Linked DNA regions of Drosophila melanogaster. The protein of the gene in region 2 binds, or shares a complex with, the protein of the main gene of each other region. Each region holds a gene or a part of one and is shown on either strand. Other genes may lie near its edges.

The links.
Region 1: Rrp40 (region 2) and Rrp6 share a complex: the UniProt entries of both Drosophila melanogaster proteins name them as parts of the RNA exosome complex.

Annotation. Positions count from the first base shown.
Region 1 is NT_033777.3:14,881,952-14,888,051, reverse strand, and holds Rrp6 (Rrp6), read left to right. Parts: upstream 1-1,805; 5' UTR 1,806-2,109; coding exon 2,110-2,217; intron 2,218-2,291; coding exon 2,292-2,473; intron 2,474-2,585; coding exon 2,586-3,990; intron 3,991-4,228; coding exon 4,229-5,155; intron 5,156-5,247; coding exon 5,248-5,328; 3' UTR 5,329-5,554; downstream 5,555-6,100. Other genes in the region: CG33332 (uncharacterized protein), read right to left, coding at 1-202; CG33331 (uncharacterized protein), read right to left, coding at 442-1,470; CG3631 (uncharacterized protein), read right to left, coding at 5,992-6,100. UniProt on the Drosophila melanogaster protein: Catalytic component of the RNA exosome complex which has 3'->5' exoribonuclease activity and participates in a multitude of cellular RNA processing and degradation events.
Region 2 is NT_033779.5:1,727,165-1,730,283, reverse strand, and holds Rrp40 (ribosomal RNA processing 40), read right to left. Parts: upstream 1,553-3,119; 5' UTR 1,456-1,552; coding exon 757-1,455; 3' UTR 522-756; downstream 1-521. Other genes in the region: CG31937 (uncharacterized protein), read right to left, coding at 1-300; Eno (enolase), read left to right, coding at 2,451-2,638. UniProt on the Drosophila melanogaster protein: Non-catalytic component of the RNA exosome complex which has 3'->5' exoribonuclease activity and participates in a multitude of cellular RNA processing and degradation events.

The DNA of each region.
Region 1 (6,100 bases), on a different chromosome or scaffold from region 2:
GAGGTTGCGTGTAAGGCACAGGTGGCTCCTCCTCATGCTTGCTGCGTTTCTTCTCCTTGTGGCGACGCTTTTCTTTCTTGTGCTTTTTCGACTTCTTCTTTTTGGACTTGTCCACATCTTTGCTGTGCTTCTTAAGCTTCCGTTTCCTTTGCCTTTCATCGCTGGACGAATTGCTATCACTACTATTGTCGTCGCTGGACATGATCTGCAAATACAATTAATGAAATAATAAGTAAACCAAGATATTCCTGAGGTTATAAAGAGGTCCATTGGATGTGAAAAGAGAGAATCCCCAAGAAAACTCAGGTCTTTGGATTGGGCTAAACATTATATTGCAGTTAACAACTTTAAAGCTTAAAAGTATTTAACAAAATGCAGCTGGATGGGACAACTTAGTCGGTAGAATGATTGGCAGCCAGGGGATTAACCCGAAAAATAAACCTAAACAGCGAATGTCTTTTGAGCCTTGCGATAGCTATACGCCAATGACTTGAGAATGCCAGCACTGGGAATATTTTTGATCGATTGCGTGACACTGCTGCGCCACACAATGTCGTTGACGGATGCCTGCAGCACCTCCGGAAGCTGGGAGGCCATGGATAGGTGATTCACCACCTGGGTGTAGTCGCCACGACAGGCGGCATTTCGCTGCAATCGCTTCTGAAGCTCTCGGGGCAACTGTCGCAGGTGTTGGCATGTAGCCGATGAGGATTTGTCCTGCTCGAAGATTATGGCTGGTTTCCGGCTCCCTGGTTCCTGGCCCTTCATGTTTACCGCCACATAGTCGGAAAGTTGTCCCAGGGAGGGTTGGTATAGGGCGAAGAAGTCATTGATTTGCGGACTAACTATGTTGTGCACTTTCTGTTTGTTTTCCCCGAAAATCATACGGAAATCGCCCTTGTAACTCAGTCCGGCGATGGTGTGGAAAAGTCCGTAGGCAGTGAACTTCTCTGGTAAAAGTAGCAGAGCCACTTGCAGCGCGGATACAAGATTCCTCTCCAGCGCAGCCTTGAGGGGAGGATTATCAGAAGGATTGACCAGATTCGTCACTGGTTTGTGCAGCCTTCCTGCCAAGTAAAGATGCCGCCAGTCAAGCAGATCCTCCAGCAGCTCCTCCTGCGACACCACGCCGTACTTTATGGTAATGCCCACATCTGGCAGAGGCACCAACGTGTTGCAATAGACACCCGCACCCAAACGCTCCTGATACTTGGCCACAAAGTTCGGTCCCAGGTGCCTAAGGGCGGAATAGTGGTCCGGATGACGGTGCAGGTTCTCCGCATGGAAGCCCCTAGCATCACGAACGCAAAAGACCAGATCCACAACGGTTCCCGGCGGAGGACGCAGGTTGTTTCCATTGCCGACTTTTCCATAGCCTTCCTGCTGTTTGACGCCGGATCCGTAGGCGAACATATAGCTGACACTGCCCAGAGGAAACCGCGCCACCGTGCGTCTGTATAGGTCCAGCATCTTGTGCGTGTTTTACCTCCTAATTGGACTAAACTTAGGCTTTATAATTACTTTTTTTTTAGCACGTAACTCCACTTCTTCTGGATGGAGTTGATGCTTCTCGGTCAAGCTCCTCGCTTTTCGCCGGCGCCGGAGGGGTGTACACACTGGCAATCAGCTGGCTGAAAATTTTGTTCAGGGTTTCACTTGAACAATTTAGCGCCCTCTTGAAAAAATAAAAGAAAAGACCAAATATTTAACAAAGAAAATATTTATTCAGTTTAATTTATATTGAAAGGAATATATATTTAGTTCAATATAATAATAACATTTTGCTTTTAAAAAGAATTTGTAAAGTATTGTTCATCAAAGCAGGTTCTGTTTACGGTTTAACATAACGAAATATCACCATTCCAAATTTGGCTAACATTTGTAAAATACACCTTCATATCGATTTAATTCGATTGCGGTCAGCACCGTTTTAGTGCTATATAGTGATCAAATTTCGCCGCCGGTAGTGTTGACAAACTCCAAATTCAAGCTGTTGTTATTCTCAAAAAAGAAGAAGAGAAAACACGCACATTTTCCACAATCTGTAAAACGACAAAAAATTTGTACGAAAATAACACAAGACATTCGACAAGGAAACACTATACAGACATGCCGCGAACCCCGAAAAGAGTTCACCAGGAGGCCAAAGAGGAATCGGCCCAAGCAGACCAGCCGCCAAAGAAATCCGCTTCAGAAGATGTTGAGGCATTCACAAACGTGGGTAGCAATTCAGCCAGCGTACATAAGTATATTTCAATCCAATCCCTACGTGTTCTGCTCTGACATTCCAGAAAGGGTTCAAGAATGCAATCGCCGCCACAAAAGCCGCTAATGCTTTCCCACAAGGAACAGCCCGCGCCCTTTACCTAAGCTATCCAGGCTACGCACGTGTTATGGAAGACCTGACCCAACGGGTGGTGGCGCTCATCGGGAACGTGCTGCACTCCAAGGACATCAAGGGCGACATCAAAAAGTAAGCTTCTAACCATGACATTATTCGAAATGTTGAAAATACAGCACAGCCATTGAAATCAAAGTTGGTACCTGTATCTGTAAATAACAATAGATCTTTATTCTTTAAACAGACGCCAACCGGAAGAGCAGTTTGAGATGGTGCAGGAGTGCAACGACGTACTGTTCGAGCGCATTACGACTAATCTAGACATTAAAGGTGGTCTGCGAAGAAATACACAACAGGTCGTAGAGGCCCAGGTGGACGTGATGAGCAGCTCCACATCCATAGAGCCCGCAGTAGCTTCCCCACAAACCCAAGGGACTCCAAAGGCAGGCAGCTGGAACAGAACGACAGGAACACCCCAACGCAGCATGGTTTCGGCTCGTCTCTTCACCGCCAAGAACATCGTTCGGCCGCAGACGCAATTTAGGGAGCCGGTGGATAACAGTGCCCAGAATCCGTTTGTTCCAAGACTCAAGGAGAAACCTAATTCTCTTAAACCGCTGGCCCTGCTGCCCGAATACGATGATGCCGGCAATGTCCAATCCTATTTGCATCCCTACGAGTTTGAGCTGCTTAAGTTTCAGCCTCCGGAGGAGCAGTTCCAAAAACAAAAGCCAGTGCTTCCAGCTCTGATGGCAGAAACCGAACTAATGGTGGTTGACACGGTGGAAAAACTGAAGCAGGCATTGGAGGAACTGAGACAAGCGCCCCAGATCGCCATAGATGTGGAGCACCACTCGTATCGCACCTTCATGGGCATCACTTGCCTGGTCCAGATGTCTACTCGCAGCAAAGACTATATTTTTGATACCCTGATCCTACGCGATGATATGCATATACTAAATTTGGTACTCACCGATCCCAAGAAGCTGAAGATACTGCACGGCGCCGATTTGGATATTGAGTGGCTTCAGCGGGACTTATCGTTGTATATCGTCAACATGTTCGACACGCATCGGGCTGCCAAAGCCTTGAATATGGCAAGGTTATCGTTGGCATATTTGCTTAAGCACTATCTGGACTTGGATGTGGACAAGAGCCTGCAACTGGCCGATTGGCGGATGAGACCGCTTCCCCAGCAGCTGGTGGACTACGCTCGTCAGGATACCCACTTTTTGATATACGTTTACGGACGGATGACAAACGATCTGCTGCAGCAGCATGCCGAACCAGGTCTGCTGGGCAGTGTCTATCAACAGAGCACGGATGTCTGCAAGAAGCGTTATAATAAGCCTCACATCGGACCAGAATCCCATTTGGATTTAGTAAGAAAAACGAAGCGCTCTTTCGACAACCGGCAACTGTACGCACTTCGCGGAATCTTCGAGTGGCGCGATGCGACGGCGCGGTCAGAGGACGAGAGTTACGGCTATGTGCTGCCCAATCACATGATGCTGCAAATCGCTGAGAGTCTTCCAAGGGAGATGCAGGGAATCCTCGCCTGCTGCAATCCCATTCCGCCGCTGGTGCGCCAACAGCTGCACACGCTTCACCAGATTGTCCTCAAGGCGCGCGATCAGCCGCTGGTCAAAGTGAGTTTCTTGGCGGTTTCAAGCAGCGCTTGCAACTCGATCAACGTTGGCGCCTATACCGATAATTTTTCATTACCAATTAACTGTAACTAACATTGAAATGAAGAACATGTTCTGAATTCACCTTATAGTTCAATTCATTTCACAACCGCAGGTCAACTAAAATAGGTTTAATGTTACCAAGTGTTGGGGTGGTATATCTAATGTTTAATGTTCTTGACTTTACTTACGATTTTAGCCGATCCTGGAAGCCCACAGTAGTACACAGGCAGCGTTGCCTCCGTCGACCAAAGACTTTAGCAGCAAGCTCTACTGTCCGCACGATTTTTCGCAACTGGAGGAGATTCGCGACGACCTGCCAACGCTGTTGAAACGTAATTCAACTACAGGAAAACTGGAGGTGCCCAATAAGGAGGAGGTTGCCAAAGTAGATCCAACCTTAGCGGCACCAGCCATGGCTCTGTTCGAAAAGCAGTCCAAGCCGACACAAGAAGAGGAACAGCGCTGGGCCCATCTTCGCAAGGAGAGCCAGACAATGCGTATGCCCTACAAACGCTATCTCGCCATCCTACCTCTGATGGTGCAGCTGAAGGCCGATCAGTTGGCCAGGGAGCGAAGTGAGTTGCAAAAGAGGCAATTGTGTCCAGCAGCCCCAACTGTGGAGCAAAACATTAAGCTGGAGGCACACGCCATCGGAAAGGAGGATGATGACATGTACTCCGTCCCGCTGAAGGAACAACTGAAGCGCAAGCACCCACAAGCGAACGTGAAAACAGATCCGGAACAGCAGCCGACTGCTAGCAAGCGACCTCGCAAGGACGAGAATTCACAAACCAAACCGCCGGTAAAGATCGAACCAGTCGAAAAAGTTCAGCAGGCTTTAGGCGAAAGCGATGATGAGGTCGTTGAGGTTCCTATCGAAAGGCAAGCCACAGAGCCACCGAAACCATCACCGGCACAGAACAACCGCAAGCAAAAGAAAAATCAGTTCCAGCGCGGATTCAAGGCCAAGAATCGAGGAAACCACCCGCAGAGCTCCAGTCAGCAGGTTCCGCAGCACAAGGGTACAGGCAACTTTGACTACAAGAACGTGGACTTCCGGCAATTCAAGGGAGGAGCGCAAAGAGCCCGGGGCACAGAAATCAAGCAGCAAATTCGCGGCAAGGTGAGTGCTATGAAAAGTATTAACAAGCTGGCTTAGCTTTTACTGAAACGATCTCTTCACTAAACATTTATAACGCTTGTTTTTTTTTTTAGAACCGTCCCAACAATCGGAACAACAAGCAGTTCAACAAGCTTTTTACATTTAGTAATGTAAGAAAAGAGGGCAAAAAATGAACTGCAATCGTGACGAAGTCTGTAAAATATACATAACTGGTATATATGTGAATTCAATAGTAAGAATGCGAGCAACACGAAAACTGATTGATGAAACTGATGAAGAAATAAACAAGTGTTTATTTTTGATTGTTTATAAATTCTTTTCAAGTTACAAAACTATTTTTTCTGAGCTTTGCAATTTTCTAAAATATTACCTATTAAATAACAACCGTAACTATTCATTAAACTAGACTATCGGATATGTTGTTATGGATCGGTTTGTAGTTCAATATTTAAGAACAGTTTTAAGAGATGGTCATTGAAAAAATATGGGAAAACCAAATAATAATTGGGACGTGGGAAATGTCATGGTAATAGGTTTAAATTTCAAACTTATTTCGTCACAACGAATTTTGTATGATTTAATTCCTAATTGGATGGCATCTCAATTTTTCGAAAACTTTTCTAGCATTCAAACCAATACAAGAAAGGACAAAAGAACTTAATTTAAAATAGGAAAAAACCTGTTTCGGGCATTTAAATATTTGGAAGAAATACAGAAGTAAAACATGGACTAAAATAATACGATAATTTCTCTATCTAACTTTAGCTTAAGTAGGATGTGGAAAGTGAGTTCCTAAAGCTCTAGTGCTGGCCATTAGCCCCAATCTTGAGCTGAAACTACAGAGTTTTGAACATTTTGTCGCCCTCGATGTCCATGCAGTGCTCCACAACAGCATAGACCACCAGAAGTCGTCGCTCCACTCCTTTTTTATGCTTATCCGTAATC
Region 2 (3,119 bases):
GGTGGCCAGCAGTCCGCGAGCTGCAGCTAGGCATTCCTCTTGCACTTGCTCCAATTGCTCCAGTCGCCGGGCACTTAGCACCAATTTCACTCCATGCCTGGCCAAGCTGAGCGCCAAAGCGCGGCCAATTCCGCTCGAGGCACCAGTTATCCAAACCACCTGTCCGCGCATCGACGACAGCGAGACTCCGAAACGGGACTTGTACCACAGGGCCACATTGCAGTCGAGCAGGATCCAGAGGAGCACGTACACGACATAGTACAGCACGAGCAGGAGCAGCAGAAACTCCAGGAAGCTCATCTCGTTGGCTCTGTATGGCACGGCTGGGTCGGAGAAACCTTTGTCCTCTGCCGCAACGGAAGGCACTGAAACCTGTTCTTGGCCACACAGAAATCACTGCGAGCGGGTCTGATCGATCAGCTGTTGGTGGGCACCAGAGGTGACGCAGTGACTGCGGAAAGTAGTCACCTTATCTGACATAAAACCCTTATACTTGGTTTTTGAATGATGCTATATTATTTAAATACCTTTTGGTAGCTAGGTAAGGGTAGTACTATCTTTCTTGAGAGAACATGTAGAGCATAATCCAAGATACGAAAAACGCTTCCATCTGCTCATCTCTGATAGTTTTTTTACGTAAACGAATCAGGGCTTCCAACACACTGCCTTTGCGCCAACATTCACATCAAAATTCAACCCCATCAGTTTGGCTAACCATTTCTTTTTATATAAAAGTAAGTAAACTAAGAACTAATCCTAGGCCTGCAGGAAGTCTCCGAGATTGCCACATATTTTGTCGATTTCCGCACATCCCGATTGCTCCAGCGCTGAAATGGCATTGGCGAGGGCCACGGTTTCTTTCAGGGAATGGGCCTTCAACCATATCCTGCCGTTGACTCCCACAGCGATCTCGTAGGGCAGTTCCCGGGTAAGAGCGGCGAGAACAGGGCAGTTTTCCCGCAGCAGCATCCTTCCCAGATTCAGGCTGCACTTGAAGAAGAATCCATCGGTGAGGACGCCCAGTTTGCCACTTTTGCCCACCGAGTTGACGCAGACCAGCTCCGGTTCAATGTCCGCGCTTGCATTCAGGACTCTCGCGTAAATCAGATCACCGGGGATCAGATCCGGGCGATTCTTCTTGCTGGCCGCCTCAAAGGCGAGATACGATATGGAGGCTGTGTCCGTTGCTCCGATGTCCACGCGGTACAGATCGCCCGCCTTGGCTCGCACAATGCCCAGAATGAGATCCCCGCGTGCCGGGATGTACCTTCTCTGGTAGTTGTCCACCCAGAAGGTGCCGGGTTCCTTGTGTCGAAGTGGGCCCGCCTTGCTAGCCACCACCGTGTCATCCAGACGCCGCAGTCCCGGTCCGAGTATCACCCGCTTGCTCTTGGCCAGCTCCTCAATGGCCGCAATTCGCTCACCGGGCATAACTATTGTGCTGGTCGCGCTCATTTTAATGTTGCTTTTACGATTTGAAAACTCCAAACAAAAAATCCGCGTGTGTCTTTCAAAACATATGGTCAAGTCGAGGACTTTCCAACACTGCCATTGTCAGCCCTGGTCTTAAAGTTAAATTTAACAGTAGTTGTAAAGAACATAAATATTCAAATTATTTTTGCCCCTTCTTATTTTATTATTTTCAAAATGCTTACGATTTTAATTATTAAGATGAACTTAAAAAAGTAACAGAAAAATTATATTTAGTCAAATTGTAATTGTTCTATATTACTGAATGATCTTAAAAATGCAAAGAAAGTTTTAAAGAGCTAACAGCGTGTGGGCGGCAATGTTAACCAACACATATGCAATTTTTTCCCGATCAGCTGTGCTGCTATAAGCATAATCGTACGATTTGTTAAAATCCGCTTTGCATTTATTTGTTCTAATTTATGGCAGCTAAAAAGCGTGACTAACCACAAGTATGTGACTTTGAATGACCCGATTGTCCAGAAACCACGGGAACATTTCATTATCATTGGTTGTTACACTTCTCTTGACGCCATTTGATTGTTTATGCTTTATTAACGAGAGCATTTATTATTATGTAGATAGACATGCAATCCACAGCTACGTGTGGATCCCGATTACTCTAACCTTGTGCGAAGGTCAATTTTCCCCAAAAAATATAGGAAACGTACCAGGGAAAACAACAAAAAAGGGAAAGCGCACCCCCACACTGAAAACCGGCGAGCACCTGGAAACGCATACATATAAAAGGAGAGTAAATGTAAGTGTCCCTCTCTTTTCCACACTTAGAGATGGGCAAAAATACATCGCCTAAGCTGAGCTTTTAAAATTTATGAATATTAAATTTATCATATAGCTTGCAACAGAGCTATAGTTTCATGTAAGGTAACTAAAATATATATTTTAAATGATATTTTTTACTCCTTTATCAAGATACAAATTGGTAGCACTTTCGCCGCCGTCTTTTACACATTCAAGCCATGTCTTGGACCGCTTCAGTTTTCTTGAGGACTTCCACCACTAGCATGAAGTTTCTGCGTCTGCGCTGGCCTCTCCCCAGAATTCCCCAGAATAAATCGGCAAACGTTGCGCCGCGTTTCAGAAGCAAATCAGCAGTCAGCCAGCTCTCATCTGGATTTAAATTTGTGCAGATCCGCAAAAGTACTTGGTATGTATATTGCTAGACTCTTGGTGTGTGCTTGTGCATCCAGCTTAGGGAAAATATTTAATTGTTTTATCTGCGAACTTCACAAAGATCACCCCAATCGAAAGGGCTTGAAAATCGAGCGTTTTTTGCGAGCGATATCCGCGCGATTATCTAACAAATGGTGCTGTGCAAATTTTCAAGTGTCTCGTTTACGTATATTTCCAATCGATTTAATTGCACAAATCTAATAATTTCAATTGACAGGCATTTGTTGTATCGCTGTAGGGAGATACTTCCGTTTTTCGCAACTTTTCCACGTACTGCGGCTTCGCTGGACGCCTCACTTTGGGTCTGACCTTTAAAAGTAGCTTAGAGGTCATTCGGTTGTTCGGCGAGAGCAAACTGAAAACTCTCCCACTGAGATAAGCGGAAAAGCGGGAAATGCCGCCAGTGTCAGTGACTCTAAATTATTATAGAAATATTTAACTGAAATTTGAAGACA